Regions from separate parts of the Mus musculus genome. Here region 2 is reported to be linked to region 1. The links are microRNA targets in miRTarBase. Many come from high-throughput screens and were not tested one by one. Region 1 holds a microRNA gene; the other region holds the end of a gene's coding sequence.
The links. Region 1 holds the annotated microRNA mmu-miR-23b-3p (AUCACAUUGCCAGGGAUUACC, at 12,002-12,022, shown strand). A microRNA usually pairs through its seed, bases 2 to 8, with sites in the 3' UTR of a target mRNA and lowers its output. Matches are read on the target gene's strand: a 7mer-m8 pairs with bases 2 to 8, a 7mer-A1 pairs with bases 2 to 7 and ends in A, and an 8mer does both.

Region 2: miRTarBase lists Fas as a target of mmu-miR-23b-3p. Seed matches in the 3' UTR shown: 8mer at 749-756.

What each region holds. Positions count from the first base shown.
Region 1 is chr13:63,288,528-63,303,871 of GRCm38, forward strand. Mir23b (microRNA 23b) reads left to right here and starts at 11,957; the gene lies at 11,957-12,030. It overlaps Aopep (aminopeptidase O), which reads left to right. Exons shown (of 16, transcript NM_001289926.1): 15 at 8,331-8,417; 16 at 10,185-14,350. The coding sequence ends at 10,325. It overlaps Gm16907 (predicted gene, 16907), which reads right to left and starts at 8,620. Exons shown (of 3, transcript NR_045794.1): 1 at 8,307-8,620; 2 at 4,165-4,308; 3 at 627-2,932. It overlaps Mir27b (microRNA 27b), which reads left to right and starts at 12,185; the gene lies at 12,185-12,257. It also overlaps Mir3074-1, Mir24-1 and a transcript of Fancc not described here.
Region 2 is chr19:34,326,834-34,341,693 of GRCm38, forward strand. It overlaps Fas (Fas (TNF receptor superfamily member 6)), which reads left to right. Exons shown (of 9, transcript NM_007987.2): 9 at 160-937. The coding sequence ends at 491. Among named protein-coding and RNA genes, the nearest start is that of Fas, 44 kb to the left of the region's middle.

The sequences.
Region 1 (15,344 bases):
CCGGCCGGGTCACTGTTTCTACTAGCAGCAAAAGTCCCCTTTTCAGCAGAGACCTGAGTGGTGCCCTTACCTCCTGACTTCAGAACCAGTTTGAAAGGTATCACTGCTGAGTGTCGAGTCTTGGAAGAGAAAGCCGTAACTGTCTAGCCCTTGTCTGCTTCAGTTCTCTTGACTGGCACTAAGCCTTTAATGGTATTACCATCCTCAGATGAAGCTCTATGTGGGGGTTGCGGGGAGCTGACGCTCTGCCTAGATCGCAGGAGTGCTTAGAACCCAGGTGAGGTGAGCGTCCTGCTCACTTTGTGGCAGATGTCTGCCACCACCCTGGGCCTTCGCTGTACACTCTTTTTGCATGCTAGTGTGGTAGGGGCAGCAGCTGAAACATCATCACACAGTGTGGCACCACAGACAGAGCGACAGACACATGTCCCTCTTTCATGTCTGTGTGTGTCTTCTTGTGATGGGCTTGGGTCAGCCTCAGGTGTTGATCCTCAGGAGTCTTCCATTTTGTTTTGTAAGACAGGGTCTCTCACCTGTTAGGCTAGGCTGGCTAGCCAAGTAAGCTCTGCTCTGTCTTTGTAGTTGCTGGCATTACAGGCTCACTGTTCCTCATATTTGCAAGGCAAGAACTTTACTCCTTCAGCTATCTTCCCAGTCTCCACGAGTCACTCCTAACCCTGGCCTAGGAATTTACTAACATGTCTGTACAGCAGCAACTGAAGTAAGGTCTAATTCCCTTTATTAGAAGAACAATCTCGGAGTTCCAGTCCTCTGGGAACAGCGAGCAGTGAGGGAGAGGAGAGGGGGAGCAGTAGAGTAAACCAGATGCTGAAAGTTCTGTGTGGTTCTGTGTGGCTCGTGCACCATAGCTGACAGCTCTTTGCTGGCAGTGCCATCAGCCTGTAGTCCTGCAATAGCTGTGCCTCTCACCACCAGTGAACCCTCTTTAAAGCAAGAAAATCTAATTTAAGCACACAAATTGAAAAAGCAGGGTTGTTTATTGCAGTGTAGACTTATTAACTTATAAGAGCCTCGAGCCTTCGTCTTTCTGTTTACAGATATAAAATGAAACTCCAAATGAGGTTTAATGGGCTTCCCAGATCATGTTCCCTGTACAGATTTTTTTTTTCCTTTAGCAGTAAATTTCAAAATCAAAAGGACTGAGAAAGAAAGGGGCTTCCTGTCATAAATAGGATGGGTGGTATTCTTCAAAGCATTTTATAGCTTCCAACTGTGCATTATAATTTCAAAGTCCTTGAAAGCATTCTCCGTTTGCAGCAGCGTTGTCCATTCAGAAGCCTGCTGCAGGCAGACACTGCGCTTGGAGGCAGGCCAGTGGGATCAGTGGCCTAATGTCTTGCTTTCACCAGCTCGCCACAGAACCCTGCAGCATTGCCACCTAGCAACACAGCAGCCAGCTTGGTCCACCTGTTGGCCTGCCTCAACCCTGGTTCTGCAACAAAGCTAAAGGATTCTAACTGTTACAAACGTGACATGAGGATTTAAGTTGCTGTATCTGTCTGTAAACACTGAGGTCCCAGGTTTTTCTAATAGTTATATATGGAAGTTTGAAAAACACAAAGAATGAGTCAACATGCAGTAGTAAGCAGGCTCGGGGGAGGCTGGGGTCCTCCTTGATCTTACCAAGTAGGCACTAACCACTGAGCTACAGCCATAGCACTGGGAGGGGGAGGGGTGTCAATGGCTGACTCCTTGAAAGGCAACTTCATGTAAAACACTGGTATGTGTATGCTAGGCAGCTGTTAGTCCAGCAAATGGCTCAGATAATCAATCACCTTGTAAAGAGAACAGGTTGCTTTTGGCTCAGGCTATGGTTCCAGCCCCTGGGTGGTTAGCCCCATGACTTTGGGTCTGTGGTAGGAGCATAAAGCAGGGCAGACCCACACGCCTACAGCCAGGAACCTTTTGCTCTTGCTGGCTGCACTCATTCTCTCTGCGCTGGCATCACCCTCCATGCCTGGCCACCGCAGCACTGGATCAGCCCCTGTACTGTTCCCACAGACCAGTGAGATGCAGGATCTCCCCTTTAATAATCCTCAGAATGAATGCTGAGCCTGGAATTGGAACTGCAGAGACAGCAATAGGACTTGGGGGGTTGGGACCAGCACTCAGGGCTACTCTGCATGTCATGCTGGGTCCATCCTAAGGTTTCAGGGGTTCCCACCTGGATGTCCGTTGACATGGTAGGTTTGGGGAGGAAATACTTGGATAGCAATGTATGATCTAGGTCAGTACACCACATAGTCTGTTCTGTAAACAGTGGTTTAAGTAATGAGCTGTGTCTGCCCTGTTCTTCAGGGGCAAAACCAAAAGGGCAGAGGACCAGTGGTACCCTGCATCTGGCCTTGAACAGAAAGGCTGTGTCAGGGCCTATGGTCAGAGTAGAGGGATGCTGACACTGTTGTCCCCTGGTTGGGAGGAGAGCTAGGCTAGGTATCAACTGTTTCCAGAAGAGATCTCTGATGGTGGTCAGGTTCGTAGCCCGGAATTTGAGGCACAGTTCAGGAATAGAAGTGGCTTTCTAAGTGGCAATGCTTTAAGACTGTAGACACCAGAAGAGCAGGGTACCTCTGTGGTGTTAACAAGTGAAGAGCCTTTCAGCTCCGAGGGAACTTCTGGTTCACAGTAACCTTGTACATGGGACAGAATTGCCACATAGCTGGGGTTGGTATGAGTCCAAGTGAGTCCTCTGTACAAATGGTCTTGAAAATTCCCAGAATTGTGCGCCTGGATGTACTTCCCAGAGGTGGTGTGAGCACCCCAAGGTCTTGTCTCTTCCTCCAGCGGTCATCCAGGCCCCATATTCTCTTCTGCAACCAGGACTCGATGGCCAAGGCTAGTTGGTCTTAAGCTGTGTGGTCCCCACCAGTGCCTTCTCTCTCCTGGATCCCTTCTTGCTCACAGCCATCACCTGGGTTGAGAAGGTCACCTCGTTAAGTCCTGCCCTGTCATCTGGGCACACATTCCCAGGTGTTACCTATCTCCAAAGTCTCACAGATTCAATAGTCAACTTTTGTAGTAGATGAGAAAACGACAGAAGATTTACTATGTGGAGTCTCCTGAAGTATCTATATAGTCTCTTGGGCATGGCCCTCCACCTTCTAGGAAGGCCACACTCTTCGGGCCATTTGGTCAGTTTTCCACAAAATAGCAGGACACAACATTTATTTACTATTGTTAACTACTAGCATTAAAACAATAATAAAAACTCAGTGTGTTGCATATATTGCATATGGGAAAATGTTGAAAAAAAGAACTTATTTGTGTGTACACGTTTGTACATGTTCTGGCATAAGCTATGTGTGTATGTGTGCCTGGTGGAACCCCTCTGGCTCTTCCTTCCCCCAAGCCTATGGAGCTAGCTGACCCTACAGTTTTGGGAGTGGATAAGCCATAGCCCATGTTTGTCTGGCTGACTATGGTCCCAGGACTCAGACCTATTGCCACAGCACATCCTGGTGGCAGTCCCACTGTAAGACTCAGCGCTGTAATGTGAATTACCTGGCAGGTTTAGTTGTCTGGCCTCAGATGCAGTTCTGACATGAAAGCTCCTGCAGGCCTATCCTCCATGTGCCCTTCCTCTCATCTGTTCCCAACCAATCGAGCACAAGGAGCACTGCTCACAGAGGTCCCTGTATTGGTGCAGGCCCTGAAGGACTGCAGAGTTCTGGAGTCCATTTCTGGTGGGATAAGCGGCACCTCTGTGTAAAAACCCACATTCTAAACAGAGCATCCTGGAAAATAGTTTTTCTAAGGTTTTTCGGAGTGTGTTTGTGTATGTGTGTGTGTGTGTGTGTGAGGTGGAGTCTTACTATGTAGTCCTGGGTGGCCTGAAATATTCTATGTAGACTAAACTAGCCTCAAACTTGAAGAGATGTGCTTGCCTCTGCCTCATGACTATAGGAATTAGAGGCATGCACCATATGCAACTTTTTGTTACACACCTATGTATCACAAAGAATCAACTTACAGCCGGGCTTGGTGGCGCATGCCTTTAATCCCAGCACTCAGGAGGCAGAGGTAGGCAGATTTCTGAGTTCGAGGCCAGCCTGGTCTACAGAGTGAGTTCCAGGACAGCCAGGGCTACACAGAGAAACCCTGTCTCGAAAAACCAAAAAAAAAAAAAAAAAAGAATCAACTTACGGCACCTAGGAAGTCTCTGGTAACCCAGCTTCTCTCTCCTGCCATTGGTGAGCTAGGCCATGTCCACAGGCACCTGTCCTTCAGCCTGGGGCAGTGAGGGGCCACCAGGGCTGTAGGCTTGCCCCGCTAAGGACTGTCTGCTCTCTGTAAGAAAAGAGAGAGCAGGTTCTTGGTAGTCATGTGTCCAGCCAGAGCACAGACACTACAGAGTCCGGAGCCACTCACTCAACTTCATCTCCAGGAAAGACTCTGAGTTGGCCTTTCCCTGCCTACCTACGCAGGCTTCCACCCTTCCCTTGGCCTCTGCCATTGGCCTGGCCTGACCATCTGGGTGCTATTTCACACTAAGCATTTGCTAACTCCAGACTTGATGGGGATTCCTAGCAAAAGCTTGAGATGACCTGAATTTTAGTTGCTCTTTAAATCATTAAATTTCAACTCTACTAAAGTGTAGTTTTCCAAGTGTGGCGGGTCACACCTATAATTCCAGAACTTGGGAGGCAGCCTTGAGCTACACTGAAAATTCTGATCAACCTGAGCTAAATAGCAAAACTATGTCTAAGAGAACCCAAGGAAAGTGCAGCTAGATCATATGGAACACACACATAAACACAAATGCTAAAACTAAAAGAACAGAGTTGAAAAACCGTAGGAAGAATAATCAATAAATTCAACTAGAACCATTCAGAAATGCAAGCAAAATCACCATGGCCGCAGTCAAGATGACTCTGCTGAAAACACTTGCAGTTTAATCAAGAGCTAATCTTCCTGACACACAAAACATTCCTCAGACAAATGGAGGTGGGATTTGTAGGGAGCCAGTGATCCAATAAGAAGGTAAAGGTTTGCTAACTAACCAGACTGAGAGAGAGAGGTTCCACCTTCTAAGATGGATGCTGCCCTCACAAGGAGCCCTGGGGCTCCAGTTCTATGTCCCTGTTGGCTGGCAGCTCTTCTAGAAACAGCTTTCAGCTCCTTTAGAGCTAGTTGGTGTGACAGTGTCTTCTGTCCATTCAGTTTCCCATAGCCCTGCTATACCTGCAAGCTGTCCTCACTTGTCAGAGGCCCATAGCCCCAGCAGTGGGAGTAGCTCAAGATGTGTGAAATGCAAAGATAGCAATTTGAATCACTGAAGGGCCTTTAACAGTGTCTCTCGGAATGCAGAGGTGCCTGCTGCTTGGTCTGGGAATGCCGCAGCATCCAATTGAGCAGAGCAGGAGACAGCACACACCTGGGTTATATGGTGCTGTAGTTGTCTTTCGCCTTTACTGTTACAGGGACCATCCCTCTGAGTGTTGAGGCTCAGCTTGTGGAGTATTGAGTCCCTGCAGTGTCAGTCTAGGTGGGAACTTGAGTCAAGGTGTCGCCTCTGAAAGGCACCAAAGTCTGACCTGGAGGAAGGCAACCCAGCCGTCCACTGGTGGCGCTTGCACTGGGGAAGCAGGTGTTAACCTTGTTCTATGAGGAGATGGGTTGTGGGTGCTTGCGAGTTTGGGAGAGAAAACTAAGATAATCTTTGTTGCCCTGAGAACTAAAAAGAAAACTAAAAGTGCTTGCGTGAGTGGAGACTGGGGTGCAGCATTTCTGTGGTGTCGTTTAAACATCCTGTCTTTGGAATACTGGAATACATGCAGCCCTTTCTGATGAAAAGGCTGTTTTGTCCTGCTCTCTGTGGGGTGGGGGAGACTGTCTGTCCTTCCTGGATGCCATGTTAGCTAGCCTTCAGGGGTCAGAAGATCGGCTCTCTCATTAGTCACGACAATAAAGCGTTTCTAACTGTAAGAGGAGTGGAAACGCTGACTTCATGTTGTGAAAGAGCCTCTGTGACATGGCCTCCTGAACCTTCACATATCCCAGCAGGGCTGCTGGAGCCTCCTGCCCCCACCCGCTGGGGCCTTTTGCTACTCACAAATGGATCCTGGAGCATGCTCTGTTTCTTCTCTGTGTGTAAATAAGAGGAAAGCATAGAAAAGAAAATGAGGGACGAGAGCTGTAGCTCAGTGGGTAGAAGTGCTTGCCTAGCATAAAGTGCATGCATAAAGCCCTGGGCTTGAGAAACTGCTGCATAGCCGGACATGGCTCTGCACACTTGTAATGCTGCCACCTGGAAAGTGGAGGCAGGAAGTGCAAAAGTTCAAGATCATCCTTGGCTGTGCACCAAATTCAAGGTCAGCTCGGGCTCCGTGAGACCCTGTCCTGGATGTAGGGGAGCTACTTGGGGAAGTCCTCTTTGTCTGGCTTCTTGTTTCCCCTGCCCTCGTAGCTGATCCTAGGCCCCAGGCTAACAGACTCCCTGCCTTTCTTCTGTCCACTGGAATTAGGGACGCCCTGACTACATACATGTACTGTGGACTGCCCAGCAATCGATGGTGTGAAAGCCGTCCTTCCTCTGAAGAACTCTCTGCCTGATCTGTCCTCAGAGCCCGACCATGCTGCTCTCCGTCTGTGGCATTAATAACTGAATAAATCTCTTACCCAAAGAGTAGTTAGTCTCACTGTTTCACCCCAACCCTTAATCCTGTAGCTTTCTAAAGCCCTTTACTCTCAAAATAAAATATGAAATGTAATTTGCACTTTTAGAATGACAAAAGTCATAGCAGCGAAACAGTTTCAGCCAGGTCCGACACAGCTCTTGTATGTGTGCCATTATTAAAGGTGGGTATATGTATTTGTGTAGTTCAGCCAGGTCCTACATGAAAGGTCCTCAGAATACTCTCTTAGGTGTGCCATTATTAAAAGTGGGTTTAGGTATCTGCTGTTTTGTAGTTGAGAAAAGGGAGGTTCTTTCTCTGGCCTGACTGAGCAGGTGGCAGAGCAGTAGACCCTGGGGGACTGTCATACCAGGGTCTCCTGGCTAGCCCCAGAGCTCACAAACAAAAGGTTCTGTTGCCAGCTTTTGGGTGTGGCTAGGCCATTGAAAGACCTGGAATTAGGAAGAAAGGGAAAGGGACAGACTACCCCCCCACCCCCGCCCCTGGGACCAGATGCCCATCATCCTGGTGCTGCCCACTGGTTCTATCTGGTGAGCACAGGAGAGCTAATTCCTTATGGTTTCCTAGGGGCTCTTGATAAATTCTAGAAGTCTTGTATAGTAATGTGGTTTGCAGGGGGCCTAGCCAAAATGTCACCATTTATTCCTGACTGCAAAATGGATCAAAGGCAATAAAAACAAGGGTAACATGAGGAGACTTTAAATTTTACTGGCTGATACTAAAGCAGTGATGTAGCATCCACTGATTGGCTGGCTGCTTGCTGGGTAGAGTTCAGACAGCTTGCTGGCAACAGGTGTGGCATTGTACTCTGAGAAGCAAACAGGCAGAAGCACCTGGTTTAAAAAAAAAAATGAATGTGAGGGCTGGAGAGATGATTCAGTGGTTAGGAGCACTGACTGCTCTTCCAGAGGTCCTGAGTTCAATTCCCAGCAACCACATGGTGGCTCATAACCATCTGTAATGGGATCTGATGCCCTCTTCTGGTGTGTCTGAAGACAGCAACAGTGAACTCCCATACATAAAATAAATACCTCTTTTTGTTTTTTAATGCCTCGACACAGAGAGGTGGCCCTGCAAGGCTCTTGTGCCTGGTGGCTTGACCACTGTCTCATAGGCAGTGGGTGCCTGTAAGAGGTAGGGCAAGAGGACCCTGGCAAGTTCCTGCAGGCAAACCTTTAGAACTGTCTTTGAAAAGAGCATGGTCTTTCTACTAGGTGCACGTGGCACATGCGAGCGGACTCTCAGCAGGAGCTGCAAGCTCAAGAGCAGCCTGCTGGAGCCTCTCCATGAATCTGAGCAGAGGTAGGGACCCACCCCGGCTTGGTGTGAGCTCGGAGTTGGCAGCTTCCTACATACTGCATTTTAATTGTTAAACCTGGCGAAACGGAGCCAAACAGGCCGAGTACAGGCCCGACCCCCATCCCTGTTGCTCGTGGCACAGGGAAGCTGCTTCCCGAAGCTCTGTGTGTTTTCTACTACTGTTGGCTGACAGTCCTTGTACTTGGGAGTTCCAGTCCTCGATTTTAGGAAGAAATGAAATGCAACCGCTCGTTCAGCCACACTTCCTACACAAGTGCCCCGTGCTTTGGTGAAATTGCAGTACAGTCGCCCTTTATCCCCACACTCTCCTGGCAGAGGAGCATTGCTTACCAGGTTTCCTGTCTTGTTTCCCAGGTTCGCCATCGATGGTGTGAACTGGTTATTAAGCACAAGTACACAAAGGCATACAATCAGGTGGAGAGGTTCCTACTGGAGGACCAGGTGAGTGTGATCTTCCAAGAGATAGAAACTGGCCACCATTCCCAGTCCCAAGTTCTCCACATCCCTGTCAGAACAAATTATCTGAAGGAGTTTCAAAAACTTTGAAGGGCTAGTTAGCATCTGAAGATCACTGGCAGCTGTGAGCTGATGCCCTCAGTGTCCTCACAGAACCCCGTCCTCTGTCCTGGCTGTGGACGGAATGTGGCATTAGGTGAGGCTTACCCTAGAACTCTCAGTCCAAGGCCATTGCTTAGCAACACCATGGGTCCATCCAGCTTGTAAGGCTCTGATTGCAAGCACAGCACAGCACATGTGTGAATCACATGGGAAACCCTTGGGTCACCTGTTGGGAATTCACACCATGTCATACCCATGCCAGGCCCTGCCTAGCCTGTGTATTCTCTCCTTTTAAGAATGTCCTAGGAAGCAGTCTCCTGCCTCAAATTTCAGGCTCTGTGTGTGTGTGTGTGTGTGTGTGTGTTTGTGTGTTTGTGTACGTACATGTATGTGTGTGTAACCTCATGTGCCACCTCTCTGGTTTGTGACACATTTTGGGGTCATCCTTCAGGGTACCTCCTCTGATGTTTTGTACCTCATGACATGTTTCCACATGACCTCCCCCATACTCTGTCCCACTCCCAACCCCAACTGGCGCCTCTGGCTAGCCTGTGTGCATACTGTGGGCTGATGGGCTAGAGCCACTTTGAATGGGATGGAAAGTGGGGGTGTGGTGGACAAAAGGACTTTTGACAGAGTCAAAGTGAGGGCTGGTTTTTCCCATAAAGCAAAGGATGTGACTTTTTTACAGCAGAAATGTCACATTTGCACAGTGGAGTAAGAATTGTTTGAGAAAGCAGACAGGAACAGAGCTAAGAGCAGCTCACTGGCATAGCCATGCTGTCTGCTGTACAGGGACCTCCACGCCTCAGCCCCTGCAGGAAAGCTCTTTGGAAGCCGACACTGAGTTTTTATCCTATGCTGCCTTTGAAACACTTGAATTTGAAGCAGAATGTAACCCTTGAGAAACTCCATAGAACAAGAAAGCGGGCAGAACTTGCAGAATGTAATTGGCTGCTTTTTTAATGTTGGCTCAGTGAGAATTCAAGCCTTTGTAGCATTGTTTTCAAAGCAGAAGAGCCAAGAGTCTGACATTTGGTGGCTGGGTTAGGCCAAAGTGACAGCATCTGCCCTGCCTGCACTGCTGGCCATGTGGTCTCTGTGGCCTGTTAGGTGATGGACTTTGTAAGCAAGCTCATGCCAGCTACCCTTTAGGATGCACTGGCCTGACAGACAAGGTTTTCCATGGTGACCATTTTGAGAGCTCTCTGCCTCTGCCCAGTGTATTCCTGACAATAGCCATCTTGGGATAGCTTGCTACTCGGGCACCGGAGTCGGTTGACAGAATCAATAGAATTCTGTATTTCTGTTGTTTTTTGAGACAAGGTGTCATTGTGTGACTCTGTGTGGCTTAGAACTTGCTATGTAGACCAGGCTGGCCTTGAATTCACAAAGATCGTCCTATTCTTCCTCCCAGTGCTGAGATTAAAGGCCTGTGCTACCATGTTCAGCTTCCATAGAGTGTTGATAAGGACAATGGAGACAGAGTAGAAGGTGCAAGCTTCAGTTGGTCACCTGCACGGCAGCAGGCTCTCTCTCTGTCCTTTGTGCTTTTAGACCAGCTTGTGTAAAGCAATACAAACAAGTCCCCATAAACATGTGCAGCCTCTTACCCCTTTCCCATTCTTCTCTGGCCTTCACGGTCTGCAGGCCATGGGCATATACCTGTATGGGGAGCTGATGGTGAGTGAGGACGCCAGGCTGCAGCAGCTAGCCCACAGGTGCTTTGAGCTGGTGAAGGAACACATGGACAGAGCATCGGCCCAGGTGGTGACTGAAATGCTGTTCTAAAGAGGTAATTCTCTTTTCTTTCTTCTAACCATCCATGTCAATTGGTAAGCCACATGATGAGCCACAGCACCAGAGGGCTGCCAAACGGTCTTGGGGAGGAAGCAGCAAGGTGGGTCCTCAGGAACAGGAAGAAGGCTCAGGATCTCTGGAGCACCTCACCTGCTGGAAGCATGGGTGTGAAGCAGGTACAGCTGAAGGAGCAACAGATCTGGCACTGCTTTAGCCACCCTGGATTTTGCACAGGTCCACAGGCTCCAGGGTCAAGGTCAACACAGCGGTCCATGGCCTCATTGCTCCAGGCTTCAGCATGCAGGCATCTCTCCTAGAGGCTGTGTAAACCTGAGACTCCTTGGCCTCTGGTTCTCTGACCTGTAGAGTAGGCAGCAGGTCTTCTCTGCCCCTCCATCCAAGTGACACTTGCGTCCTAAAGGCAAGTCTGTTTCCATCTCGTGCTGGAACAGGATTTACGCTGGCTCCCAGAGTCCTTGGCTGTGGTGTAACTTGCCTCCTCTGTAGCCAGCTTGTGGACCAGTAATGCAGTTCAGCCACAGGGCGTGGAGTTCTGAGACAGGTGTGGGCTAGTGCGTCTCTTTCATAGTCGCCAGTCATCATCTCTACATCATCCCAGGACATTATCGCTTGCCATGGTGGTACATATGATGTTTACTTTTGTATATGTTTGAAATTTTACATCAATCACTGTGTTACTCTGTTGTTCTCTATGATTACCAATTAATGAATATTTAGAATTGTGTTGCTAATCTTAACCCATTGTCAGACATTAAATTTACATTTTCACATTTCACTTTTATAAAACCCACTTCTGTGTAATGTTTATTTTTCTGAAGAACTACACTGATGAAGGGAAAACATGTTACTATGTATGACCATGTTGTTGCAGAAGAGCTGGGGACCGCCACAGTCAAGCAGGGGAGATAGTGGGCTGGAGTAAGCAGGTACAGCCTGCTAAGCCTGCACACTACAAGCTAGGACGGTGGCCTGTGTGGATAGACAGAGTCGGTCGGGGCGCCTCTTCACTGCCTCCTGCAGACATTTCTCTAGAAACTTGTAAGCTGAGGGATTGTTGGTATGTGGTGTGTGAAGGTCACACAGTAAAGCCACTGTTCCCTTTTTAGGTCCCTAGGCCTTCACTTAGGAAAGCCATAGTCACATAGTGGTCCTAGTGACTCTTCTAAGAGTATTTTTGCCCCCTGAGTGAGCAAATCCTCAACTTGCTAGGTCCCCTATGAGCTCTGTGCTATGCCTCAGCTTATCCAACCAAATGCTTGGTCACAGGCAAGCCAGAGAGATGCTCCCTCCCTACACACCACACCTGCTGTCTGAGGGGCCCAGAGACATCCCAACCCATTCAGTCTGCAATTGGAGAACAGGGTGTGTCCCAGGGTTAAAGGCCACATACTCAGAGCAAGGATGGTCCCTAAGGTATTGGTCTCATAGCTGATAAGTGTGTCCTTTGTCTCCCAGTCCCCTATGCTCCTCTATACAGTGCAGCCAGCGCGCTGAAGGACAGCAGGCTGCACTGCTAGCGTGGTGGGCTCAGAGGCGGTTTGGAGGACACTCAGCACATGTGGATGGGAGTGGTTGGGCATGGTGCTGCCCTCACCTGCTCTGGCTGCTTGGGTTCCTGGCATGCTGATTTGTGACTTGAGATTAAAATCACATTGCCAGGGATTACCACGCAACCATGACCTTGGCTGCTCCTGCAGAACCGTGGCTACTTTCTCTCTGCAGTTTGGAGAACAGAGGCGCCTTGTGGCTCTTTGGAAACAAAAGAAGCCAACAGCCTTCGAAGATGCTCACCAGCCCTTTAATTATGGCCGGCGATGACCTCTCTAACAAGGTGCAGAGCTTAGCTGATTGGTGAACAGTGATTGGTTTCCGCTTTGTTCACAGTGGCTAAGTTCTGCACCTGAAGAGAAGGTGAGATGGGGACAGTTAACTTGCAGCTGCCAGGCAGAGGCCACTGCCTGGTGGTCACTCCAGAGGAGGAGAGACCAGCCTGCCTCAAGGCTGTGTTGTCAAGAGTGCAAACAGCGTGCTGACCACCCTTAAGTGTGTCTACAGAAAATACAGTTCTACTGCTAATTAGTTCACTGTAATGTCAAGTGTATTGGGAGTCACAGAAAACTAAACCCAGGTGCATCAAGGAAACTGAGCCAACCTTGTCTCAGCTGATGCCACACGTGATGGGTGGGGGTGTGGTTCTTTGTCCCTGCTGGGCGTGGTGAACTCTTTCTTGTATTTGCAGTCCAGGTCTCCATGTCTCCACAGTCGCTGGCAAGATGATGCCCAGGGCACGCCAGGAGGCACTGCCCAGCTGTGATTGGACCCGCCCTCCGGTGCCTACTGAGCTGATATCAGTTCTCATTTCACACACTGGCTCAGTTCAGCAGGAACAGGAGTCGAGCCCTTGAGCAAAAAGCCTACCCATCTGTAAGTGCCTGAGGCAGGCCTCCCACGGAGAAGAAGATGAAGGGCCTGAGTGTCTGGTACCAGACCCAACAGCAGTGGTATCCCTCTGTATGTGCTCCCGAGGTGGGGATTTGTAGAGTGCAGAGCTAACCTTGGAAAGTTTGCATTCCCTAGAAGCAGGTAGGGCAGGCGCTGAGCATTTGCCACGTGTTGGGGCAGAGCACACCATGTCACCGCTGCCTTGAGCAGTGAGAATGCCTGTCTGAAGGGCCTTGTCTGTAGAGCCTTTCTGAACCTCTCTGGGCTTCACAGCCCTGCATGGCCTGTGCCGTGACTGTGCACCCCAGACCCAGGATTGTGAGGTGTGGCTTCAGTGTTGCCCCTGTCCTCCCATGAAAAGTTCCCTCTCAAGTGGAGGTCAGAGGCTGGGAGGACTCCTGTTGGAATGGCTGTGGTGACTGGGTAATAAATTTTATTGCTGTTTCCTCCACAGGACAGATCACAGTGAGATTCTCATATACCTTCTCCTAGCCCTGGTGGGGCCAGGACTGCACTGACCCTGGACATCAAAGGGAGGATTATGTGGCTGCTAAGGCCATCAGCCCACAGCAGTGGTTGGTCCATCTTGGGCTTCCAGAGACTGGGCTCCCGTGGCATATATAAAAGGCGGAGCCTCATAAACTGTTGCACCTGGCAGCTGCCTTTGTTCCCAGTCCTAGAGAGACTGAGTCTACACACTGGAATTGAGCTGTGACTTTAAGGCAGTCATTCAATGAAGGACACCCTCCCCTAGGCAGATGGAGAGCCGGTTGCCTGCTTCCTGTGATTGCAAAAACTAGCTGCCATGCTCTGAGACTGCAGAATCATGTGACACCTCCTGTGGCTGGTCCCCAAGGATTCTGCAAAGCCCTTTTGATGTGTTCAGTCAACAGAGCATTCCTGTTTTTGAAAATGCAGGAAAGCCTAAAATGTCTTAATAAAGTACCAGATTTGCTAGTGTTCCAGTTTGCTTCTGAATTTGATGCTCCTTAAAAGCAAAGAAGAACGTGTGTCAGAACAGGCACTTTCCACACACTTCCTACCTCCAGGTAATGTTAATTCTAAAAAGGTTGGAAGTAAAGGGAAATTAGTGTGGCTTGGGACTCTGCTCTCTTCCAAATGTGGAGTTTCAGCCAGCCTGGTACTAGCGGAGTCTCAGAACAAGCTCTAAGCTCTTTCAGTCACTGTCTAGAGAACGGTGCTTGAGACTGAGCCATCAGTGCAGTCACATGAGCCCAGCCAAGGCAGAGCGGTGGACAGAGGAACCAGAAGGAGCATCCCACTGGCTGGCCAGGCTTCTGCACCCAGACCTGCTGGGTGACAAAGGCTCTAGGACAGACTGAGAGGAGCGTCCGCACAGAACCATTGGTTTTCAGAGCCTGGGCTGTAGCAGTGACTGCATTTGGATGGTTGCAGGGGACTTGCAAATGGTTATCTGCTTTGTATACCACAATGGTACAAGTATCAAAGTGTGTTAATTCTACTTAATGTTACCCTGATTTCTGTGAAGACTTGAAATAAATGGCTGAGTCTATGCCTTCCTGCTCTCAGAAGCACTCTGGCCTTGCTTAGAGGTGGACTAAGAACCACACACCCTGTAAGGCCCCTCTGAGAACCTCAGTGGCCCATACCTCCTCTGAACTGGAGAGAGCAGCCAAGCACTGGTTTAGTCTGGTTTTGTTCTTTGTTCTTAGGAACCACTAAAGCAAAACAAAGCTGTCGCCTAAGGTGGGTTTTGTTCAGGGATCAAGTCCCTTGTCCCCATGGGTCACTGAGCCCTGTGCCTGGCTGTGTCTGGCTTGGGTTCTTGCCAATGGGTTTCAGGTAAGTGGAGATCTCACTGGAACCAGATGCCCATTTCACAGCTTTGGTGAAGGATCTGTGGTAGAGCTGTCCTTTGCCACCTCTGGCTGGGTGCAGAGCAAGCCTATCCTCCCCTCTCCTCTAGTCCCCCACCCCAACAAGTTAGGCAGCAGCTCCTGCCACCCATAGCTGCACCAGAGGCCCATGAGGCTGTGGAAGCAGGCTTCCCTCATCTGGCTGAGACCTCTGGAGTCAAGAAAGTGCAGTCTCCATTCTTCCGTGAGCCACCTGACTTCACAGGACACAGAACATTGCAAACGTTAACTTGTCAAATAGGATGCGAAGCAGGGTCTGAGGGCGGAAGAATGGATGTCTAGGGAGGCTTGACCTCCTCCTCTGAGCTGTCTCACCCAGGGAGGAGTTTGCTCTATAGCATATGGTTCAGGTGATGAGTGAACTGTTGGCGGAGGAAGGATGTGGATCATCACCCAGGCTCCTGCTCCAAACCACAAGTGGGCAGAGCAAGAAGCTGGATCCCTGGGTCAGTGTTTGCTGTAGACCACTCTGTAGTGCTTGGTCTTCAGAGCTTTGGTGTCCAAGCCTTAGGCAGGGGCTTGGAACCCCTCTAAGGAACTCTCCCTCCCACCACTCAGATGTGAGACTGAGCCTGTGTTGAAAGCCTGGAAGCCTGAACCTGAGTCTGCTCCTCTGTCCCTGGAGAGACTGAGACTGTCCTTGGTGGTC
Region 2 (14,860 bases), not on the chromosome of region 1:
ATGTCTGGCTCAGAGAGTAAATTATAAAATACTTTAGCAAGTTTGGGAGGACAACTCAAGCTTACCCTAGGGGTCTCACCTAGCGCAGATGTGAACCCGGCTTCTGTAAGGGGGTTTCTCCTAGACAGACATTTTCAGAAACTATTTTCTGTTTTTCAGATCTTAGCTTGAGTAAATACATCCCGAGAATTGCTGAAGACATGACAATCCAGGAAGCTAAAAAATTTGCTCGAGAAAATAACATCAAGGAGGGCAAGATAGATGAGATCATGCATGACAGCATCCAAGACACAGCTGAGCAGAAAGTCCAGCTGCTCCTGTGCTGGTACCAATCTCATGGGAAGAGTGATGCATATCAAGATTTAATCAAGGGTCTCAAAAAAGCCGAATGTCGCAGAACCTTAGATAAATTTCAGGACATGGTCCAGAAGGACCTTGGAAAATCAACCCCAGACACTGGAAATGAAAATGAAGGACAATGTCTGGAGTGAAAACTACCTCAGTTCCAGCCATGAAGAGAGGAGAGAGCCTGCCACCCATGATGGAAACAAAATGAATGCCAACTGTATTGACATTGGCAACTCCTGGTGTGTTCTCTTTGCCAGCAAATGGTAGTTGATACTCAGTGAGGGTCAAATGACTAGCAGGTTCCAGGGACTGCTTCTGTTATTCTCTGCAGTTGCTGAGATGAACCATTTTCTCTGTCTACTGCAATTTTTACATTCAAATGTCCATGAAATTTGTATTAAATGTGAAGTGGAATCTGCAGTGTTTGTGTTTATATTCATATACTATGAACTGAGGAGAATTATAAACTGAAACAAATACTCGCAGTTAATTGAAGACCTTCCATTGATGGACAGTTCTTTTCCTCTCTATGTGGAAATGTATAATAGAAGAAATAATTTTTAAATTAAAGTATCTCTTTTTGCATTTCTATTGCTCTGTTGTCTTGCTTGTTATTCCATTTTTCTTTACTCTAGATGACGACTTAAATGCTACCTGTGCAATGAATGAATCTTTAAAGCTTGAGTTGACCTCTTAGGAGGAAATTCCTTTCCAAAGCCTTTTAATAATTAAATGGTTCATTCTATGGCTGTTACTGTCAAGAATACTTTAGCTTGGCAGATGTCTGATATTCTTGAGGAATCTGATGACCGTGGTCTCAAAAGTGCATTTAAGCAGAAAGATTGCACAGCTTGGGGGATTTGCCTATAGTTTTCTCTGAGGTATGACAGTTTTCTCTGAGGTATGTCCTGTCCAGCTTTCTAGTTGGACAGAGCAGAAGGACAAACCCAGTAGAGTTCAGATATGAAACTCCCACGTTTTAAGGTGAGATTAAGCATAAGAACATCCTGTGCCTTCTTTAATGAGTTTGAACTTGAACCAAGAACTCTGAGTCCCTTTGAAAAGGCTTTGTATTGGAGGATGTGAGTCTCTTCCCCTTGGCTTCACCCAGAGGCTCCGGGAATGACCACTCCCACATCAATAACCATGGCTGTGTTCTGGACTTAAAGTGACCTTTTGCTCCAAAGTTACCTTGCTTCAGTGATTGAATCTTTTTTTTTGTGGTACACATCATGAGAAGGAATACTTATGTCACGTATGGGCTGCAGGAAAAAGGACTATGTACAAAAGGAGGTCAGGGACCCCCATGGGCCTTGCATACTTAAACTTCTAAGCATTCTTCATTAGTAACCACAGAGTCCTCTGGTATTTGACCAGGCCCTATGCAGTACTACATTGTTAGTTTCCATATAGTGATCTCGATATGGCATACAGCACAACATTATTTGCAATTATTTCCCGTGCTCTCATCTGAATGGAAGTTTTCCTGCTTGGATTTTATACCAGGGGCTGGAAGATAACTCAGTAGTAGACCACCTTCTTAGCACCCTTAAGGTTCTTGAATCAATCCTTACTACCCAGGTAAATAAGTAGATAGATAGATAGATAGATAGATAGATAGATAGATAGATGGATAGGCAGGCAGACAGATAATTAGGAACGGAAAGGGGAAGTCTACATAATGCACAGTATTTGTAGTTTCTCCCTAGCTTTTAGAACATCAGTCCACTGTATTCTTGTGTTCATTGTTAATGATATGCCCACTTCTGGTCTAAATATTCCTTTCTAGGCAACTCCTCTCTTTTCCTCTAATAGACTCTGAAGGTTCCTTTACCACACTTTCTTGGTGTTCAGCAATTTAACTTAAAAGAGTTCCAATGTGGATTTATTAATCTCTTTCTCCTCCCCCATTTCCCCTCCCTCTTCTCCCCTTTCTGCTGCTTCTTTCCCTATCCTTCATTATCCCTGTTTTCTTGAGATCTTCCTCTGTGGTCTAGGCTGGCCTGAAATTTGTAGTAATCCTCCTGCTTCACCCTCCTAATTGTTGAGATTATAGTAAACTTAGTTTTAACTCATTTGCTAAGCAGTATGACTTTTATTTTATTTTTTATTTATTTATTTTTATTTATTTATTTATTTGAGATAGGGCTTCTCTGTATAGCCCTGGCTGCCCTGGAACTCACTTTGTAGACCAGACTGGCCTCGAACTCAGAAATTCACCTGCCTCTGCCTCCCAAGTGCTGGGATTAAAGGCATGCTCCACCACTGCCCAGCTATATTTACCTTTATCCCTTGAGATTATAATTATACCATCTCGCCTTCCCTTTCCTCTCTCTAACACCTTCATTTCCCTCTTTCAAACTCATGTCCTTATTTTTCTTTAATGATGCTACATGTGTATATGTTTATGTATATGTATACGTATATGTATATATGAGTGTACACGCACACACACGCACACACACGCATGCATATACCATGTCCTTGCTGTTCTGAAGACTTGGATCTTTTCTCTTTGAATAACTCCTGTATGAGTCCCTCAATTCTTTCCTCCCAGAGTAGAGCATCACCTCCTGTAGCTTTTTGAACTTCTCTCTGCTCTGATTGTTTGAAATTATAGTTTTATATGAAGATCGTATGTAGGGAGATGTTTCATTACTCTCCTCAAATTAACCATTCCCATTTTTTATCGTTTTGTCCACTGTTCGTGACATTTCTAATTATCTGTGAATGCTCACTTATACATATGTTTCTGCTTCCTATTCATGGATATTTTAAGGTTACGTGGAAAGCTGTGTCTATCAGTCTCTTTTCTTGTTGTAAACAAATATCTGGCAAGAAGCAACCAAAGGAAGAAGGCTTGCCTTGTGCTTTGAATGTTCAGTCAGTCTATCATGACAAGGAGGCCAGGGCTGGGGGACCATGGCAACTGGTCAAGCTGTGTCTGTAGCAGGAAGGAGAGACCTTGGAGGGCTGGTGCTCCACCAGCCTTCTTCATTTCCATTTTATTCACACTCGGATCCTGGTTCATGGGATGGGATGGTGTGCAGACTCTCAGTGTGGGTCTTCCCTCTTCTATTAAGCCTATCTGGAGCATACCCACAGGCCTACCTAGAGGTGGGTCTCTTAGGTGATTTTAAATCCAGCCAAGGCTACAGTCACAATCTTATTCCATCATCCTACTTTAAGGAGTCTACAGCTCTTCATGAGTCCTTCCTAAAAATACTTTTAAAATTAAATTTTACTTGTGATCTCATGCTGCCAATCATAAACTCACTGTCCTCACATGGCTCCCAAGAACTTATGCATGTGCACTGTATACACATTTGTGTGCACATGTATATGTCTATGTGCACGTACTGAGATGCCATAGAATAAGAGGTATCCTGATTTAGCATCCTCCACCTTATTCTGTTGAGACAGACTCTTACTGAGCCTGGACCTAGACTGGCAGCCAGTCCACCATCTCTGCCTACTTCCCATTACCAAGCTTACAGATACATATGTGCCATAACTGCCTTTTACAGGAGTTCTAGGAATTTGTACTAAGGTTACCTGTTGAGCCACATCACTAGCCATACTCATGTGACCTTCTTGGTGTATTTTTGAATTTGAATTGTAGATCTGAATGACAAGTCTTGTATTTATGTGTACTAACTTCATGCATAGAAGATTTATTATTTATTATTTATTATTTATTTACCAACTCCTCCAGAGACTCCTGTTCTGAGCCAGGATTTCTTAGTATGTTGGGACTTATATCTTTCAATAATTTCCGGGTTCAAATAGATTTGTGCACCAGAAGAAGGAAGTTTGGCTCCCATATTGGTCCAACTTTCTTATGCCATGCGGTGTTTAGATGGAACTTAGTTTAAGCTGTCCTTTGGCACCAACTCTGATAGTTTGTTAGCAAAGGGATTTGACTAAGGCTTTAACTCTGTCATACCTCTGGCTTGTCTTTCTGTTTCCAGTGATCTGAGAATAGATCACACAGACAGAAATTTGTGTGAGGTCATGTGTCACACTTATAAGCTAGCATACATTTTTCTTTTCTTTTTTTTTTAATTAGATATTTTCTTTATTTTCATTTCAAATGCTATCCTGAAGTTCCCTATACCCTCCCCCCACCCTGCTTCCCTACCCACCCACTCTCATTTCTTGACCCTGGTGTTCCCCTGTACTGGGGCATATAAAGTTTGCAAGACCAAGGGGTCTCTCTTCCCAGTGATGGTCGACTAGGCCATCTTCTGCTACATATGCAGCTAGAGACACGAGCTCTGGGGGTACTGGTTATTTCATATTGTTGTTCCACCTATAGGGTTGCAGACCCCTTCAGCTCCTTGGGTGCTTTCTCTAGCTTCTCCATTGGGGACTTTGTGTTCCATCCTATAGATGACTGTTAGCATCCACTTCTGTGTTTGCCAGGTACTTGCATAGCCTCATATGAGACAGCTATATCGGGGTATCTTCAGCAAAATCTTACTGGCATATGCAATAGTGTCAGGGTTTGGTGGCTGATTATGGGATGGATCCCCAGGTTGGGTAGTCTCTGGATAGTCCATCTTTTTGTCTTAGCTCCAAACTTTGTCTCTGTAACTCCTTTCATGGGTATTTTGTTCCCTATTCTAAGGGGGAATAAATATCCACACGTTGGTCTTCCCTCTTCTTGATTTTCTTATGTTTTGCAAATTGTATCTTGGGTATTCTAAGTTTCTGAGCTAAAATCCATTTATCAGTGAGTGCATATCTAATGACTTCTTTTGTGTTTGAGTTTCCTCACTAAGGATGATATCCTCCAGATCCATCCATTTGTCCAAGAATTTCATAAATTCATTGTTTTTAATAGCTGAGTAGTACTCCATTGTGTAAATGTATCACGTTTTCTGTATCCTTTCCTCTGTTCAGGGACATCTGGGTTCTTTCCAGATTCTGGCTATCATAAATAAGGCTAGCATACATTTTCATTGGTTTAAATGCTTACTTAGACCTCTTAGCAGTTCAGTGCTTGGATGAATACCTTGGTTCTAGGCAGAAAGAAGATAATAAACTGTAGTGAGCTGATTTGCTGTATTATATAAAGTGCTGATCCTATGAAGTAGTTCTGTTGGGGTATGACAAACCCCTTCCAGATACCCTCCAGTGGAAGGCTCCAAAGATGGAAACATACTGACGGAGGTTGTGCTGTCACCTGAAACACCTTGGAGATCTGTGATGTAGATGTTATGTATATTTATAAGCTTTTGGGACAGAAGGGTTTTCCTTCAGATATAGTCAACTTTGTATTTTAAAGTAGAAACTGGGATGGGGCGAGGGCAGGTAGCTCAGAGCGTAAAGCATTTGGTGCGTGTGCTTTCCAGCCTGAATTTGCATCCCCAGCCCTAAAAGAAACCAGTCACTGTAATGGTGGCACATCCTTGTAACCCCATTGTTGGAAAGCAGAGACAGGTAATGCCAGAAGCTCCTGACCAGCTAGTCTACCAGAACCGTGGGAGTAAGATGTGTTCTCAAACCAAAGCGGTGGAAAGCGATAGAGGGGGACATCCTAAGTAAGAATGGCTACATGTGCATGTGCACCTGCGAATGTGCACGCATCACAGACACGATAATTAAATATGTTAGAAGGGAAGATGTTAGTTAACCAAGTGACTGCAAGGAGACATGCTGATTGTGTGTGTGTGTGTGTGTGTGTGTGTGTGTGTGTGTGTGTGTGTGTGTGTGAATATGATGTATATGATGTATTCAGCTTTTATATCACCTGTTTACTTTCTAGTCAGAAAGACAAGATCTTCATTCTAGACACTTCACCATCAGTAAAATAACGGTCAATCTCTAACTTTGTTTCTAATATAATACTGCTTTAGGGGGAAGATTTTTTAGTGAGAGGAGACACGTCCTTGATACTTTGAGCTTCATTAGAAGATGCCTCCAGTTACAGGGTAGAAGGATCTACCTGAGCCACAAGTCCAGAATCATACAAGTGGACAAAATGGTCCTACACCCCAGTAAATAAAGTGAGAAAAAATATGAATCACTTGACTGTTGGTTACTATCACATGACTTAATTACCTTGTTTTTGATGAGTAAATCCATGAAATGTAGGATAAAAATGTCTCAGCTCCAGATATATCCATTTGCCTAAGAATTTCATAAATTCATTGTTTTTAATAGCTGAATAGTACTCCATTATGTAAATGTACCACATTTTCTGTATCAATTTCTCTGTTGAGGGACATCTGGGTTCTTACCAGCTTCTGGCTATTATAAATAGGGCTGCTATGAACATAGTGGAGCATGTGTCCTGAGTGAGGTAACCCAATCACAAAAAAAGTCACTTGATATGCACTCACTGATAAGTGGATATTAGCCCAGAAACCTAGAATACCCAAGATACAATTTGCAAAACACAAGAAAATCAAGAAGAAGGAAGATCAATGCATGGATACTTCATTCCTCTCTAGAATAGGGAATAAAATACCCATGGAAGGAGTTACAGAGACAAAGTTTGGATCTAAGACAAAAGAATGGACCATCCAGAGAATGCCCTACCCAGGGGTCCATCCCATAATCAGCCACCAAATGCAGGCAATAGTGCATATGCCAGCAAGATTTTGCTGAAAGGACCCTGAGATAGCTATCTCGAGTGATGCTATGCCGGTGCCTGGCAAATACAGAAGTGGATGCTCACAGTCATCTATAGCATGGAACACAGGGCTCCCAATGGAGGAGCTAGAGAAAGTACCCAAGGAGCTGAAGGGGTCTGCAACCCTATAGGTGGAACAACAATATGAACTAACCAGTACCCCCAGAGCTCTTGTCGCTAGCTGCATATATAGCAGAAGATGGCCTAGTTGGCCATCATTGGGAAGAGAGGTTCCTTGGTCTTGCAAACTTTATATGCTCCAGTACAGGGGAATGCCAGGGCCAAGAAGTGGGAGTGAGTGGGTAGGGGAGCAGGGAGGGGGAGGGTATAGGGTACTTTTGGGATGGCATTTGAAATGTAAATGAAGAAAATATCTAATAAAAATTTTTAAAAATATGTCTTAATATATCCTGAATGTGCTATGGTAAATGATTTCTTTACATTTATTTTAAAAGCCATGCATTACTAGTCCTTTATTCCTAAAAGACAGATAAAAATGGAAATCCCTGTGTTTGTTTTCCCTCTTACTAAATGTAAAAAAAAAAAAAAAAAAAAAAAAAAAAAAAGGTCTCAGCTATAAAATAAAAGGCCCAAGGATCTGTCAATAAAATATAACAGTGGGCTCCAAACAAATGGGAAGGAAAGCGGGGCTGTGGTTCCACACGGCCACAAGATGGCACTGTTTCTCCAGCACTGACTCAGGTCCTGGTTGAAAGTTTCTCCAAAGTATGTCACAGTTTAATTCTCATATTCAACTTGCCAACAAAAGAGCAAAACAAAGCAGATATTACAAGAGTTTTATCTAAAATAAGGCAATGTCTGATTCTAAGTCAACCCCTTTTTATGGCCTAGCTGTATAATTTTAGATTTAACATCTTGGATGTTCTTTATCCATATCTGTAAATTAAAGTCACAGTCCATCAGTTGTTCCTATAACTGTAATGCACAGGAATGAGACACCCATGAGAGGATGTGATAAACTGTAATAGAGTATGACATTGGTTCTTAAGATTAACGTTCATAGAAACCACCTGAGGATGTTTGGAAATGTGTCCTGCAGATGATGTGGCTTTGGGAAGGGGGGGGGAAGCACTTGTCTCATACCCATGAGTCCCTGGGTTTCATGAACAGCACTCTAAAATTCATATCCCCAGGTCCAGACATGCTTCAGAAGGTTTGAGACTGGAAATATTCATGTGCTGCATAATTAATCAGCAATTATGAAAATGTGCAAAGTCTCGGGTCACAGCCTGAAAGGCTTCAGTATGCCAACACCCATGGAAAGAAATATTTCCAACTTAGAGATTAATTCACTATTTAACTAAAAGTTGAACAAGCACTCCACCATTTTTAGACTAACTAAAGGTACGTGTATATTATATTATAATACAAATATATCAAGTGTAAGTGCCCATTCTCTTAAGTTAATAGAATGGACTTGAGAAGGAAGTGTTTGCTGGGTGACAGTCAGATAACAGGACCAGGTGCAGAACATCTGGAAGTCAGCTGATAGACAGGTATGCTCATGTTGTAGGACCCAGACAGAGTTGATGGAGTCCCCCTGTGCTCTGCCTTGTGACCCCTATACACTCTTATTTGTCTATAAACAAGTGACTTGGTGTCTTCTATTAAAGACTGAAGCAAGCTCTACTGTACTGAAAGAGAGTGAGAAAATTTAGCAACAAAGTTCCATGAACCTCTTAGAATTCTTTGTCACACAACTGCCAAGGTTTGTTGGCTAAAGCCAATGGAACTTTTTCTAATCTCTTCTCTTCCTTCTCCGTCTGCAAGGGGTCTCAGTCTGGTTCCCAGAAAACATGGTGGGAAAGATTGAAGGTCTAGCTCTAGGCCAGAGGCCAGTGTGTTATCCTCAGAACCTGGGTGTGCATGCTCAAATCCCATCTTAGGTATCAAGAGTGCACAACAACAAAGTCTTTACAAATTGCAGCAAAACCGGCTTCATTTGGAAATATATTCAATACTCATCAATAAAGAGAGACAGCAGTTTATGTTGAACCACTAGGACTCTTGATCTTTCTACAACTATCTATCAAATAGTTCTTACTTTTTACAGCTAGGCACTATTCTAGGATAACATGCTAATAACATGCTAATAACATACAAAAAGACCACCAATCTGGAGCTGGATCTCTCATAACAGGACGGACAAGAATTTGTGTAATGATTGTGCAGAATACTATGTTATGAGATTATAAATGCTCCGATCCGTTTATCAGGACAGGGAGAATTGAGGCAAAGGTAGGGAGAGAGAGAAAAAAAAAGCAAGGTGTGTTACTACTATATAGAGTGGTCAGGAGAGGCCTCAGTGAGATGGAGCAAAGATTTGCAGCAGGGTGGCCTAAATCTGAGGGAGGACTGGAACAAACGCCAGGACAAGCCAAACACGCGTGAGGGTCTGCAACGGGGTCAGTATGGCTGCAGTGTACAAAAGGAGAAGCATGACAAAGAGAGGTGACAGTGTCCAGATGCCTGGAGCTGGTCTTGTTGAGGGACAAAGACCTTGCCAATGCATCTTCCTATTTCCACAGCTAATGCAAAGATAAATTGCATGGACCAGATACTTCTATTGTGTAGCTTTATTATTTAAACAAAATTTCTGGGGCTGGGGGAAATACAACAAAGTTGCGGGTCTTCAGGAAATGAACGTTCCTTTGGAAATGAGAGGTTATGAGACATGGTTCCCGATGAGATTTAGGACCTAAGGGTGGATTGGAGGGTGTGCAGAGAGTGCTGCTTGAATCAGCAGGACTCTGAAGAAGCTGTTGAGAGAGTCCCACTGCAGCACTTTCTCCAGTTCTGCTGAATTCTGGTCCAGGGCATACTCTGCCCTGGTGCTTCTCCATCCTCTCCCATGGCCTAGCACTTGACTGACGGACACATCACACCTTACTCATTCCTTCAGGAGAAAGGGCTTTCTCAAGAACTTGGAAATCGGAAAGTCCCTTTCTTCCCTTTTGTTTTTAATCTAGGCAAAAGTCACATAACATAAAAACCAACCATCATAAAGTATACAATTCAGTGGTATTTAGTATTTCACAACATTGTGCAACTTTTTTTTTTTACTTCCATCTGGTTCCAAAAGCTTTTATTGCTTCGAAGGAAAGCTAGTGTGTACTAAGCATTTACACACACACTCCCACACCCCCGCTGTCCCCTAGCCCCAACGCCCCATCCGCAATCATCAGTAAGAAGATTTCTGTCTTTAGGTTTAGCTATTCTGAGGATGTCAAAACATAATCATGCTTTGCACAGCCTTATATGTGGTGCATCTTTCAAGAGAGACCATTTCTTAGCAGTAAAAATGCTCAAGTGAAGACTGCAGAGTTTAGTTGCTCCACAGTCGTGCAATGGCATCTAGTTCTATCGTGTACTAGCTGAGTCAAAGAGGTCAGATCTCTTCAACTTTACAAAGTGACATGCTAGAAATAAAATGCTCCTTATGCAACTCAAATGCATGTATGTATACATGTCAAGTCCAAGTATGTCACATGTGTGTGTGTTGTGTGGCGTGGTGTGTGTGTGTGTGTGTCTGTGTCTGTGTGTGTGTGTGTGTGTGTGTGTGTGTGTGTGTGTGTGTGTAGGGGTGTAATAAGAGCCCTTCTGCCTCCCAAGGTGTCTAATTATGCTTGGACAATTAAGAAAAATGTGTGACATTGGAGATGGCACAGATACATCATCTCAAAGCTGCCGTAACTTGCTTTTTGCCCTGTCAAAACCACCACAGGCTAGAATGAGGCAGTTCACTGTGCTTGTATTCCCAGGGCGTTATTAATGGAGAGTGCAGATGTGGTCTTGTTCTTCAGTTTATGGTATAACACAAGCAAAAATGAAAACAAAACAAAAAAAAAAACTCTTTTCATTGCTAAGTAGCCTCTCTGGTACATCACATCCATGGGTCCCTCGGTATTGGGAATTCAGAGACAGCAATCTGGGACATATGACATAAGTGGAAGGCCATCTGTGGGCTTTTGTGACGATCTTGTTTCTCTGAATGTTTTCAGGACCCACCTAACTGTATCGTATCAATACTTCTTTTCTTTTACTGGGCAAATACTATCCCACTGGTAGCAGAGGCTGGCATGAGGATGGGAGGTCTGTCTCCTTGGTAACAAATGAATGAAGACTTAGAAGAGGTAATGGTGACAGCATTCTAGATAGATCTGGTGCAGGCTGCAGGATCTGTTGAACTATGTATTTTAATCAGGTGTAATGAAGACGTTTCCCAGCTTCCTGTTTTCATTTCTTCTCTTACCCAGGAATGGTCACTCAACTTGAGTTAAGCTTTATTTATTTATTTATTTATTTATTTATTTATTATTTATTTATTTAGTCTCCACATCTCAACTTCAAACTTAGGCTTATTGAGTCATGAGTGGGTTCTCTCCATGACCTCATTAATGCTCTGCAGCCAAACTAAAATGCAGAACGAGAGAACAAAACTGGGTAGTCGTTTTTGGTTTTAATGTGTTTCTAACAGCCCTGTCAACTCCCTCACCTGATTTTGTGTCATCCTTCCAAACACATTTCTCAACTCTAAGCCATGAGCAACAACAATGGACTCTTGTAGTGAAATGCACATGTGTATCTATGTACATGTGGACCGGCCATGAAAAAGACAAAGGCTGACAGCAAATCAAGTATTGCTCCCAGGCCATTCCTCATTATCTGGCAGGTGAGTGTATTTTACATAATTTTTAAAAATTTTAATCTTTCATTTAGTTTTGTGATTACTTCCATCTTCATTTCATTATAAAAGTAACTTACTTATCAAACGTCCTGATAGCAGCTCCAATATTCAATCAAAATAAATGCTTCAGAGAAAGTACAGTTTTATCTTACTGATTTTCATAATCTCTGTGGCTATAAATTTGATTTCAGTTGTGTTAAGATGCCTTCCTTGATTTTGTAGCTAATGTGTAAGTACTAGATGTGGAGTTTCCTGTGCTGGTTTGAATGAGATTGGTCCCAATAGGCTCTTTTGTCTTAGTTTTGGTCTCCAGTTGATAGAGTTGTTTGACTTAGAGGGTGTGGCCCTGTTAAAGGAGTTATACCATGGGGATGGATTTTGAGGTTTCCAGAGCCTACCCCATTCCCAGTTAGCCTGTTTCTTTCTGCCTCATTGTTGTCATCTCCACATGGAAGCTCTCAACTACTGTTCCATGCCATCACTTCCTATTTTCCTGATTCCACCATGACAGTCATGAACCTTGTTTCTAAAAATCTAGACCCAATAAATTCTCTTTTCTCAAAAAAAAAGATGTCTTCCTTGAACTTCCCTTCCTTCCTTGAACATCTTCCTCATGTGATTTTTGTCTAAGTGGAAGCAGGCAATACCAAGAAGTGGCCAGAAATTACATACTAAGAGAAAAAGAACTATATAATATATACATACATATACATGGGTATATATTTCATATATATGGTGTGTGTATGTGTGCTTATGTATATATGTATGTGTATATATATACATACATATATATATATATATACATATATATATATATACACACACACACAAGTATATATTTTGTGTGCATGTAGTTGTTTATGTGTGTGTGTCTACATAGTTCTTAGAAGGAGAAAGGGAACATAAAGATGCATAAGTCAAGTATTATGGTAAATGTGTGGATTCACAAAGAGGAGAGTATTTTTATATAGCCCAAATTGTTCTTTACAGGAAATAATCTGATACTCTGTGATGACTGACTTCGGAGACTTAAAGGATGCTCGGCAGATGGATGCTAAGCACCTTGTGAATCAGCCACTAGGATTCAAGGCAGACTCAGAGCACTCTCTTCAGAAGGGACAAAACCTTTGAAGAAACAGATAACAATTGTAGTGGTATGTAAATTGAAATCAAGTAATCACTGAAATTTATTTCTCAAATGAGGTCTTCTCTTTGAAGATTTTTATTCATTCATTTAACCAATCCACAGACTCCTTTCTATTCTTAGAAACTCGATGTCTATTCAGTCCAGCTAGAGAAGGTAATGGCTGAAAAGATTGATCCAGTCTTTCTTGGTAAACCAGAGAAGGTTAATCACAACGAGAAGAAATCCCCTGTGCAGCTTCCTGGCAACTCTGACACAGAAAGCCTTCTCCTCCAGTGACTGTTTACTGCTCCTGTCCCCCAGGAGAAAAGGGACATCTTGAGCCTCACTGCATCCTCCACCTGGAGATGTTAAGAGGCTCAATCTTTTGAGGACCTAGGCTATGTGGACCACAGTTGCTCTGATGAAGACAATAATCATGTATACCAGAAGGGAAACAGCCACTTGCCACCATCCATCAGTCTCTCAACAGATACTGGCTACCACATACATTTTGCACAAACAACAGGAATAAAGTTGATAACTTTTTACTCTCTCTGTACTTAGCCTGAGTATGTTGGTTGTTCATTGTTGTCTAATGAGATTCTCCTTAAACTTAGCAACTTGAAATAACAAATGTGTTTGTTCTCTTACACAATGAGGGTCCAGGGCCTCAGAGCTACTTAAGGAGACAGTGGTCTCCCCTGGCTTGTATTCTAGATATGGGTCAGTGTTACAAACCTGTGTGGAAGCTCGTGTGTATGTGTGTGTGTGTGTAAAAGCTTCAGTTACTCAGATTAGTGAAAATTTTCAGATCCGTTCTCTATGGGAATTTCCGCTGGGCTTCCTGAATGCCTGCACAGCATGGCAGATAGCTTTCCTCAGATTGAGTAATCCAAGGGAAAAGGGGAAGTAATGGAGTCACAATTTATAGCCTTTTTGCAACCTTGCTATGTGGAATTACATTATTCCTTTGCCAAGTTCAACTGAGCATACAAGGACCTTGGTACAATGTGTCAAGAAAGTCATGAGAGGATGAATATTAATAGACAGGAATCGCTGATGAACCTCAGTGGGACCTGAACTCAGTGATATATTAACAAACAGTATTGCCAAATAAATGACCAGATGAGAGAATGAAAGTCTATGCTGTTTGCTACAGGACAGAAATTCCATGCTGATTTGCAGTTGTATCATTAGGTACCATAATGGGACTATATCCTGAAATGTTCTTTGGGACAGGGCACAGAAATCACTGTCAGAGAGTTAAGTATAATAAAACTAAAGTATGGTTAAGAATGCTAGTCAATTGATAGGAAAAAAAATTAAAAGTGTTTTCCACAATCACCTGAAGTCAAATATATCACTTAAATACTTTATACTTTTTACTACTAGGTTGTATGCTTTAAAATAAATTTTGTTTTTTAAATGACTAAAAATTGTAGAAGCCAAGAATCATTTTGTTTGAACAGGAACTCTTTCACTTGTATTATGTAGTTTCCAAATTTAATTCATGAGAAAATATGAAGATATGTAAGAGGTTTGTAAGATATGAAAAGATATGTAATCAGGTATTCTGAAATCTTAAATTTTATGGTAGGAATCATGTCTTAAAATAGCCTAAAAAATGAAAACAAATATTTCAGCTTCATAAACAGGTTTCAAGTAGGTCAGCATAGACTGATAGAAGAATCCTAGGTCCTAGCGCTGGTGAGACTTAGATGTGTTTAGTCTTCAGTGTTGAGCTTTTGCGCCCGATGTCATGATGTCAGTACTTGGTGCCTTTAGAAGACAATTAAGTCACCTACAGGAGTTAATGCTTCTCGCTGAGTTGGCTCTCTGAAGGCTGAGAGTGGGTTGTTGTCACACACGTCTGGTTTCTTTGGCATTCTCTCCCTTGCTTTTGTTTTGCACCACCCCAGCGTCTGCCATATTGTGAAGCTGCACACTCCTCCACCACAAACTAGCTCCATGCTCTTTGGACTTTCTAGCTGCTGGATGCAAAGCAATGACATGCTTTATCATGAAAAGCCTGGTGAAA